3 linked regions of the Drosophila melanogaster genome follow. The protein of the gene in region 1 purifies or fractionates together with the protein of each later gene. This does not show direct contact. Each region holds a gene or a part of one and is shown in the gene's direction. Other genes may lie near its edges. The genes, in order: clu, sick and tobi.

The links.
Region 2: the proteins of clu (region 1) and sick purify together in Drosophila melanogaster (affinity purification with mass spectrometry, with the first as the bait; one large-scale study listed by BioGRID). This does not show direct contact.
Region 3: the proteins of clu (region 1) and tobi purify together in Drosophila melanogaster (affinity purification with mass spectrometry, with the first as the bait; one large-scale study listed by BioGRID). This does not show direct contact.

What each region holds. Positions count from the first base shown.
Region 1 is NT_033778.4:16,184,831-16,188,584, forward strand, and holds the start of clu (clueless), read left to right. Parts: upstream 1-1,753; 5' UTR 1,754-2,092; coding exon 2,093-2,306; intron 2,307-3,058; exon of another isoform or gene 3,059-3,324; intron 3,325-3,747; coding exon 3,748-3,754. Other genes in the region: CG8441 (uncharacterized protein), read right to left, coding at 334-921, 982-1,155. UniProt on the Drosophila melanogaster protein: mRNA-binding protein involved in proper cytoplasmic distribution of mitochondria.
Region 2 is NT_033779.5:19,824,409-19,828,162, forward strand, and holds the start of sick (sickie), read left to right. Parts: upstream 1-2,065; 5' UTR 2,066-2,865; coding exon 2,866-3,754.
Region 3 is NT_033777.3:25,344,723-25,348,476, reverse strand, and holds tobi (target of brain insulin), read left to right. Parts: upstream 1-1,555; 5' UTR 1,556-1,590; coding exon 1,591-3,364; intron 3,365-3,421; coding exon 3,422-3,621; 3' UTR 3,622-3,716; downstream 3,717-3,754. Other genes in the region: Fur1 (furin 1), read left to right, coding at 138-874.

The sequences.
Region 1 (3,754 bases):
TTTCTGTCAAGGGTATAATTAATGTATTGCCTGCGATGTCAAATTTTGAAAGCATTTATTATACTCAAAAATGCAACATTTGATGCACCTTATAAATGTAAGACAACAAAAAACAAAATGCGCACTAAAGCCACGACAACTCAATGCATAATTCGCAAAACGCTTTCTTCTCAACCAAGCTGCTTTAGAAAGATGGCCTCAGATGAAAACCCCTAGATACTGGCGATGTATAGAAATCGCTTAATATATATATATTACAAAAGTACTATAAATAAAACCGCACTGTGTTTTATTACTCTAAACGGTTTATTGATAGGAATAGAACAGGAGGTACTAAGGCACAGGCTTGTCTTGTTCTTGATCCACATTTTGGGATTCCTTTGTAGCTTCGGTGCTATCTAATTCCACTGCATTTGTGTCCTCTGCGCTTTTCGCTTCTGTATTTGAATTCACTGCCTCTTCATTCGAAGTTTCTTGGGTGTTATTGTCGTCGGATTCCTTGGATGCCACCTGTTGTCCTTCCTCAGGGCTACTTTCTGCCTTTTCTTCTGTGGGCTCTTCCTCGGAATCTGTGTTACTATCCTCTGAGGCTTCCTTAGCCAGTGGCTTCTTGTCCTCTCTCGGCTTTTTCGCCCTCTGTTTTCTCTTCAACCGTTTGGCTCGTTTCTTAGCAGTCTTTTCTTCGGCCGCGCGTCTGTTGTCGTCCAACTTCTGCTGGTAAGCTTCATCTGCTGCTTCGCGGGCACTCTGGTTCTGGATGTTCTTCTGGCGGGCGTACTCCTTGCGTCGCAAGTGGCGGTACACATGGAACTCGCCGGAACCCGCTCCAGCACTGCTTCCCATCACATTCCGCACGAACGTGGGCACCGAGGACATGAAGTCCCGTTCGCGACGCTGCTCCGGTATGACCACGGGCTTATCCTGGCAATAAAAGGTTTATTAATATGAATGTCCACCCAGCTTTCCAATGCAAACACATACCGGATTCTTCATGAGCTTCTCCAGCTTCAGCCTCTGTAGATCTGTCGCGGTTTTGATGAACGGCCGCAGAGGCTTGTCCTTCTCATCGGAATCGCTTTCTCCAGATCCCGCATTCTTTTTCTTTTTCTTTGCCTTCTGTTCGGGCTCTTTTACCAAATTCTTTATAAGCGACATGTTTGTTTGGTTAAAAACAGTATTTTATGTGTGGCTGTATTACAAGTCGTAAAAAATACACACCGAATTAAAAAAAAAACTTAACGGGGACTATGCTTGATCTGTAAAATTGTATGCGTCAAATTAGAGTCGATAAGTTAGCGGCGATGGCGGAACGGTGGAATTTCAGGAAAATTTCAATTTTTGAGATAATTTCATAACAGTAGGTCCAGCTATGAACCAACCCATCCTTAAAACAGGCCCTTTACATTAATTAATTTTTAAAAATTGTTGAATAGAAATTCACCTTCAAATAAAATAAAAAAAACCTACCCATGTTACAAATTTCACTGTTCCTCAACGACGCTAATATGACGCACTTTATAAAAAGGCTTAAAAATTTGTTTTAAATAAAAATAAGTTTGTATTGTGCATAAATTACCTTTTATTAAACAGAACACAATTGTTGTTAAAATAAATGCAATCATATATATTGGTATCGTTTTTGCGTGTGCATCCCTATCACTAGTTGTTGTCCATCTGCAATTATACACAGCAAATAACTAAATACTAATTAAAATACTGCAACCAAGCCAATGCCAGCGGTATATTTAAATGTTCACCCGGTGGTCACACTCTCAGCCGTTAACAACATAACGCGTTATTTTCTAGCGAATCGGCCGATTTATATCCTCGATAAGTAATGTGCTGAAAAGAACAGAACTAGCAAAGACCCACTTGTCATAGATGCGTACGAGATCGTTAACCAAACAACAATCACGTTCGCAATCGACCAGAAAGACACTGAAAATCGAACCGAAATCACCCCGAGCTCGGCGAGCGGTTAGAGTTGTGTAACACGGACGGACGGGCCCAAAAAAAAAAGAAACGTGAACTAGAACTCTGTGTCTCCTCCGCTGGTTTTGTTGAGTTTTTGGCGAGCAGGTGAAACAAAAGCATGGCGCTTGAAACGGAGGCGAAGAATTCAAATGCAACGGCCACGGGCGATGCAACAGCAACAGCAACAAAGGCCAGCGGCAAGGCCAAGGAGAACAACAACACGGCCGGCGGCAAAAAGAACCTGAATCCGAATTCGAATCAGCAGAATTCGAATCAGAACTTGGTCAATGGCAATGGCACGGCTGCCGACGGGCCGGCTGCGAAGAAGAAAGGTGCGTTTAACTTTCCGCCTACGCCCATGTTCAACCAACCAATCAACCACCCACCCACCCACACACCAACCCATCACCACCTCCTCTTAGCTTTGCTGCCTTGGAAACTGCCTCAATATATTATTTGCCACAAAAGCCAATCACATAACATTTTTAACATTACGTAATGGGCTTTTTCTTCCCTATAATGCCTTAAAAGCGGCGCCCGTTGTCTATGGCTGCCCCTCCACCCCCTTTTACGAGCCTTCCCTCTCCCCCTCTCTCCATAAACCGCGTGGGTTACAATTGCAATCGTAAATGTGTGTGTGTGTATTATTGGAGTTAAGTGCGTGTGTGAGAACTGCAAGTGTGAGGCTCCCTATCTCTCTCGCTCTTTCTCTTCCTCTTGGCATGGCAACGCACATGTTATTAACCCGGCAACGGCGACGAAATGTTCATTAACCCCCCGGGCGGATTTCTTGTTGCGTTTAACCTACAATTAACACGTGCGCGGCCCGAAATGCATGCACTTAACACACGCAAATTGTTCGACAATTATGTAAATCATGTTTTCTATCCGTAGACGCATCGCTCTACACTTTGTCTCCTTCTCTCCGAATTCCTTGCGGTTAATGAACATTGTACTTATCACTTTTGCTTTCTCCTCTCCCCACTCTCTTTGCCTCTCTCATTCTCTCTCCCTAGCTCTATCTCTATGTATCTCACAGTGCTGTAATTTAGTATACGGCTGTTGAAATTAGCATGGTCGTGTTAAACCCATTCCGTTTTCCTGAGAGATCGAAAGGAGATTGGATTATTCGGTGGACTGTTCGTTCGTACGGACTCCGAACGAACCCGGCCCCTTTGGCCTTATCAGCTCGCTTTTCTCTTTCTGTTTGTTTTTCTACTGTTTTGTTGTAAATGTATGTACATATGCCTTTATATGTATATGCAAGCACACAGCTTGCCGGCGAACACAGACAAACTGAGCGACAAAAGTGTGCGGACAGTATTGTTATGTAAAAATCGGAGCCTGGAGGTAGAGACACCTCTTTTTAAATTATTATATATTGCCAGACAATTTTAGAAAAGAAACGTGTAACGTATTTGCATTACCTTTAATTCTGTCACCATTTTTCAAATAATATCAAGGTTTAATTATTAAACTAGATATAAACCACTATTTATAAATTAAGAATGGTAAACATTAAATTCTAACATAAACTTGGCAGCATTGCTTGGAAATTTAAATTCCTAAGAATAATCTTTTGTTTTTAAAAACATACTAATGAACCATAATAAATAAATAACGGATTTATACAAGATTCTTCTGAGAGACATGGAAACAAAAGTCGGTCCAAAGTTCACGTTTCTCCCTATACATCGAATAGGTTACACAATGCTCCATATGCCTTTCCCAATATTGACTAACAACAAATTACTTCTTCATCGCCCCATGTAGGCAAGAA
Region 2 (3,754 bases), on another chromosome or scaffold:
CTTTGCACTTTATTTATGCCCTGTAATTTAAAATTTCCATATGGAGTTTGGCCAAGAATTTACTGAATTATATGAATTTATACCTACCCTTTAAAATTCTCTCAATGTTTGTTAGAATTTTCGCCAAATATATTTGTTTTGATGCAATTTTCAAATGAAATCTAGTGGATAGAGTATCTAGAAGTCACACAAAAGGCGTACTTATGAGTTTTTTCTGGCAAACCTCAGCATACTTATACTTCTCTTCTTTGTTTGAATAACGTTTTGGGTTCTGGTTGGGCTTTTTGGTGCAATAAGAGCAACTGAAGGATGGAAAGAAAAGCGTGCACTTTTCAAAAGTGGGCTTTTGTGTGGAAAGCGAGTCGAGGGGCTGGGATTCTGGTCAACTCACTAGCAAATCAAAAGCATTTCTAACCAACTTGCCAGCGAAGTTTGCACAGCGTGTTGGGCGCAGAAAGCGGCGCTAAAAGAACTCAGATTGAGTGCAAATAAAATGATGTCATGAAGTGGGTGGGCGGGCTAAAAGGCACGGAATGCATGCTCCACTTTATTTCAGCTATCAACTCGTAAAGTTTGCGGCTTGATGGCCTCCGGCAAAACGTCGGGTTTTCCCAGTGGGTGGAAATCTGTTCTTTTTTTCAGAGCTGCAGAGCTGAAAGAGACCACGGCAAAACTGCAATTACAAGTTGGAAGAGGAGGACTCAACTCAATGCGCAAATCTTGACAAGTATTTTGTCAACTTTGACTGCTGCCAGCTGGAAGCAAAGGCAGATGAAGTGCGAGCAACTTCAACCTCAAAGCAAAAGTGTTTAACTTTAAGTCCTGCCTTCTGCCTTTCTCTTCGGGGTCCTTTCATTTTTTTCCTTTTTGCCCCCATTTCGTCCCCATTTCACGGAATCGTCATGGAAACTGAAAGTGTCAGGGATTAGGTGATGCTGGAGTAGAGAGCCACTATCCACGTGGCTTTCAGGGGGATTTTAAGCCCAGGGGAATGGACGCAGACAAGGATTGTGTGGCCTTATAGGAGTTAAACATTTAATACGTGTACTGCCCAGTTATAAAAGTATAGATTCAACTGATTAGAGCACATTTGTAGAATAGATTTTAACATTTCTGCTTCTTTAACTACAATCGTAATGGTGATGTAAAGAAAAACTGTGTTGTTCCTAGAAGATGGATTACCAATTGCATTTAATCTGGGAAGTAAGTCAAACTGGAATTTTATATTATTTGCATTTATCACCATTTCATTAGCATACTTTGCTAATCTGGATAAATCAACCTTGGGCTTGAGTGCTGCCCAACAGCCCTCCCCTTTTCAGCTGCCTACTTTGACACTAATTAACTTGATTCAGTATTCGAGACTACTGCCATTGCCTACTGCCATCTGCAATTCAATTAAAAATTAACATTTTAATTGCAAATTACTTTCAGTATACTTTATGGGACGCAGGCACAGACACCGGCAGAGAAACTCCACTTAACTGGAGTAACTTCTTTCGCCTCTGCCACCTGCAGCCTGCCATTTCCGGAAACGGAAGTAGCAGGATGAAGAGGAAGAAGAAGAGGAGCCATTGGAACATCGGCTCATTGCGAGGCGTTTAATTCTATCATGCGCCAACAATTATGCAACTTGTTGGTTCACTGACTCAAATGGCCAGGCGGTTTTCAATTTGTTGCCAATAAAACTTTTTCCATTTCGGTTTCCTCTCAGTTGTTGCCACGTTGGCCTGGCGAAAAATGTTCGTCATAGTTTTGTTTTGTGAGTGGGCTGAAATAAAGGAAATTAAAAGTTCATTGCTGGTTTTCCGAGTGGAAACAATGCTGGGATAATCTCGATTTGGCGAACATGCTGTTCTTTGGCATTGTTCATTATTTGTTATATCTATTTGGATTACTCACATTTACTCTACGAATCTCAGCAAGTGTAATGGAAAAGATACCTGTACGTGAGTGATGAACCATTCCTTTGTTCACTTCGCTTTCCACTTAATAAATTCATGGATCCATTTGCTGTCAATTTGTTATTGATATCTCCGTTATGTCTGCATTTTTGCGACCGGGGGGAAACTGAAGGAGAAATGAAACTTAATCAAATGTGAAACTCTAGCGAGCACTTGATATGCATTTTCGTATTGAATTTCCCTTCCAGCTTCTATCGCACAATCGCTTTTATTCGAAAATTGCACGAACAAAATAATACCTGTGCTGTTTGCCGGAAGCTGAAGAAAAATGTATGTGAATGCTTTTCGGTTTTTTCAATTTAAAGCATTTAAGTTGCAAATATATATGTATCCACCTCTGCGGCTTCAATGCACAAATTCAAGTTAAAACCGCATGTGCAGTACTTTAATTGTATTATTGTTCACCATTTATCGCAATCCCTGCAGCGTTGGCTTCCTGTTAATTGCTTTGTAGACAAATTATAAAAAGCTCGACTTTGGCATTGTTTCGGCGGCATTCTGGAACACTTCAAAAGCAGACGAAACCACGGCGTAACCATGACCATGACTATGACTCTTTGCCCGCAAAAACAACCTAGAAACGTATAACTCTTTTTTTTCCCCCGACCAGCTGGGTCAGTTTTAATTTAACTTTGACATGCATCAGCTAAAAAATCCAATTACAAACACAAATGTAAACAGAGATAGTAGAGAGAGAGAGAGAGAGGACATGGAAAAAGGACCTTATTTTTTTTGGTCGAAAGACTAGAAAACCCATTAACGCGTTTTTGCCCTCCATAAAGATGAAGATTTATAAAGCCATTAATTTGGCCCAAGCGGCGAAAAAATGTATACAAAATTTGTGAGTGAGTGTGTGAGTGAAAAGTGCTGAGCCCATGGAAGCTGCAGTGAAACCCTAGAAATGTCCAGTCAGGCAGGAAAACTGCGTCCGGGTTCCTCAACCAAGCCCGATCGCAATGCGAATGAGGAGAACCAACTGGGCGCCAAGCCCAAGAGCCAAAGAACGGACAATCATCATCAGAATCAACCGAAGATGTTGCCACATCCCAACTACATGGAACTGGAGTTCCTTGCCACGGATCCCACGGCATCGGCGCAGAGTACGGCCTATCCGGACTTACCAGTTAGCTATGCCACCTGTTTGGTGGGTCCACCACCGTACAGGGATCCGCTGCCTCCCACACCACCGCCCCTCTCCCAAATGCCATCGAGGCTGCTCCACTCGGCCCCCAATACGCCCAGTCGTGGCAAGGTGGTGCTCAGCAAGAAGGAGCGCAAGGAGCTCAGCAAGCAGCTGGGAATCGACGAATCCTCGATCCTGAGCAGCAGTGCCCAGTCGAGTCCCTACAAAGGACGTGTGAGTGAGCTGAAGAACTGCATAGCTCGTGGCCTGTTTGCCACCCTTCATAGGGGCTCACAGAAGTCGCTGCAGCAGCAGGAGGAAAGGCCCATCAGTCAGGAGATATCCCCGCCTCCTCCAGCTCCAGAATCAGCCAATAATAATGAAGATGTGGCGGATTACTCCGAAAAGCTAAGGAATCTACCAGTGAGACAGCGCAAGGCTGCCACCTCGCACATGGAGAACTACTGTCTCTTTGATCCCGTGGACTTTATCAACGAGAAAGCCATGAGATATCCCAGTACTCAAGCCCACGGATTGAGGGATCCCCTTTTCAGCTCAAGACAGCACTTGGTCTGCGAGGATGAAGATGAACTGGTGCCAGAAGTAATATACGATAACGAGGAGCTCGAGTTGGAGGAGACTATTATCATAGAGACTTCAGCTATGC
Region 3 (3,754 bases), on another chromosome or scaffold:
AGCTTTTGTAACAACTTTCTAACCAACTATTTTCCAAACATTCCTTTTCGCAAAATCTGTCGCTGAGGTAAATCACTTCCTTGCCACTTTGGATCAAAAGTAAATATTTAACATCAACCTTCTCTAAATTTCAACAGAGTGCAATGACTCCGCCTATATGTTCGAGGACCAGTGCTACGATGTCTGCCCGGTGCACACATATCCATTGGACAAGTTCCAAGCAGAGGAGGATGAGCAGGATGACGAGGTGACAAGGGGTCCGGTTAATCCCTACAGCAGCTCCCCCATGGATCATTCCCTGTTGATGTCCAACAGCTTGGATGACAAGCAAGATCCTCTGCAGGCGGAGGATCGACGTCGTCGTAGTTCACTCACCCAACTGGTGGAGGTGCCTTCTCGGGTCTGTGCCGCCTGCGATCGGAGCTGCTTGGAGTGCTACGGTGCCCTGGCCTCCCAGTGCAGCACCTGCTCCCCGGGCAGCCAACTGCGTAAGATCCTGAACGAGACCTTCTGCTATGCCTATGTGGTGCGTAGCACGGGAATGGCCAGTGTGGTGGACATATCCAAAATGGACGATAGAGATACCCAGCAATATATGACTGGCACAACTGTGCTCCTTTTGGTTTCGGTGATTTTCACCCTGATGGGCGTAGCAGTGGCCGGTGGCATCGTGTATCATCGAAGGGCAATGGCTCGATCCAACGAACTATACTCCCGAGTTTCCCTAGTTCCGGGTGACGAAAGTGACTCTGACGAGGATGAACTGTTTACGGCCCACTTCCCAGCGAGAAAGAGTGGTGTTAATATATATCGCGATGAAGCGCCCAGCGAAAAGATATTCGAGGAAGATGAGATCAGCCACTTGGTACCCTAAATAATCAAAACAAGTTATTAGTTAGGTCATGCATTTAGCCATCCTCATAACCACCAGAAATATATCTATATGTTAAGCGACCGACAAACGCATTTTTGGTCTATATTTTGTTACATTCGACGGCATTACAGCTCCTTTATTTCAAGCCAAAATAGATTAAAGTATTAAATGTAAAAGAAAAAAAATCAAAACTAATTATTTGTAATATTTATGCCTTAATAAAATGATTTTAACTTAGCTGCTACTGCTTGAAACTACTTGAAGAGGTATAATTCATCGATTTAGCGATATAACACTTGAGGAAATGCTCAAAATGTTCATGTACTGATAAGAAACTGTTGCATTTGATATTAGGATTTTTCAGATTGCTTCTGAAGCCGTCCTTGACTTTAAGAAGTCACTTGTTGAGATAGGCTTATATTTTTTTATTGATGACTGTGTATGTAGGTGAACTGCAATCTCAGCGGTAACAACAATCAATTAGCTAATGGAAAATAAAGAAATTCAGGTGGGACCCCGCTTATCAGACAGGTTATCACGGAGCTGTCTGAAGTGTTCTCCCCAGGTGAGAATTGTGTTGACATCGCTCAAGAGTTTTATTTGTATAATACGCTGACCGAAGCCCCAACGAAGTCGCATCGATTTTCTTATCGCGACTATATTAGGTAGATCAGCCCGTGCATGACCGGCAGTCGTGTTGTGAGAAAGGCACGAAAATGAGGTTTATTTTACTATCCCTGCTGTTGGCATCCTTCTGCCTCTGGGAGGCGGTTCACACTTGTGCCAGCATCGAGCAGCGCTACAAGTTTCCCAATAGCAATGTCTACGTGCGACTTAGGAGAGGTGATAAGTTGCAGTATGAGCTAATGAAGGGCGAGAAGTCCCTGCAGACGGTGACCTTCGACAACTTTGACAGCAGCGCCAATCTGGTGGAGACGAGCAGTGGTAGCTACCAGCTTACCGATGGCCAATCCACCGTGGAGTTCACCCTGGTCAAAAGCGGAGTGGTTGCCGGCACAGGCAGTGAGATAACCCATGTGAAAGTATCCCGAGATCAGGTGCTGCAAGGCACCCAACCCAGGGATTGCGTCCCCCTGAAGACCGGATCGACGCACTGGTTCAGTGGTCCGGAGCAGAAGCAACACTACTGGCCAGTGGAGCGACAGAGGCATAGTAACTATTCCTACCTGCCAAAGGAGCTGGATAACTTTGGTGTGGGTGAGCGATATTGGTTGAACGGCGACGGAGTCTTTTTGTACGTGGAGAGCAACACTCCTCTGTTTATTGATCAGAATAGTGCTGCCTATCCTGACCAGCTGTGTCTGAGTGCTATTAGTGCTCTACCCTATGATCCTCGGGTGACCTCTGCCAAATTCGTTTACCACGTAGCTGTGGCCAAGGATGCCAAGGCGGCGCACCGGTATGCCGTTAAAACGTTCCTCGGCCAACCCACAGGCTATCCCGATGAGCGAATGGTCATGCATCCTGTGTGGTCCACATGGGCTCTCTACAAGGCTGAGGTATCCGACGATGTGGTTCGTGACTTCGCCAAGCAGATTCTGGATAATGGGTTCAACAACAGCCAGCTGGAAATCGACGATGATTGGGAGGATTGCTATGGAGCCATGACCTTCAGGAAGAACAAGTTCCCCGATAGCAAGACCCTGACTGATGACCTCAAGGCCTTGGGTTTCCGTGTGACCCTGTGGATTCATCCATTCATTAACAACAACTGCACAGCCATTTACGATGAAGCTAAGTCTAAGGGTTACCTGGTGCTCGATCACGAGGGAAGCTCCGACACGCAATGGTGGAACAGCAAGCCCAAGGATGCAGCCATTTTGGACTTTACCAAAACTGAGGTTCAGGAGTGGTTCAGCAAGCGTTTAAAGCGCCTTCAGGATGAGGATGGCATTGATAGCTTCAAGTTTGATGCCGGAGAGACCAGTTGGCTACCCAGTGATCCTGTACTCCAGGCTAGCAGTTCCATGGTGACACCACTGCAGGCGGTGGGCGACTACGTGCGTACTGTAGCGGCATTCGGAGACATGGTGGAGGTTCGATCAGCCCAGAACACTCAAGATCAGCCAATCTTCGTGCGCATCGTGGACAAGGACTCCGAATGGGGATGGAACAACGGCCTGCTCACACTGATCTCTTCGATGCTGCAAATGAACCTCAACGGTTATCCTTTCGTCCTTCCCGATATGATTGGTGGTAATGGCTACTACGAAAAGCCACCAACCAAGGAGCTTTTCCTCCGTTGGCTGCAGGCCAACGTCTTTATGCCCGCCCTGCAGTTCTCCTTCGTTCCCTGGAACTTTGACGACGAGGCCATTGCGATCAGCAAGAACTTCACCGCCCTCCATGCCACCTATACACCTTACATTATGAAGCTCTTTAAGCGCGCTGTGGATTCTGGTGAACCTGTGAATGTTCCCCTCTGGTGGATCGCCCCGACTGATGAGGTGGCGCAGTCTATCTATGATGGTAATCCTGTCACTTAACTTAAAATTTTAGCAGCTATAACTGGTTTATATCTCGCAGAGTTCCTTTTGGGCGAAGACATCATCGCTGCTCCCGTTGTGGTCGAGGGCGCCACCAAGCGAGACATTTACCTGCCAGAGGGCGAGTGGCAGGATGGAAACAGCGACCAGGTGTACACTGGACCCACCTGGGTGATGGACTACGCCGCTCCCTTGGATACCCTACCCTACTTTTTGCGCGTGGGATTCACACTGGAGTAGAGCGGAAACCGTTTTATATATCTAAACTTCCTAGCGTGTATATTTAAAAAAAAAACAGAAGACGAACAAACTTAATAAAGTTAAATAATTATAACAATGTTCACACAGTTAATTTGGTAAAATCGAATGGATC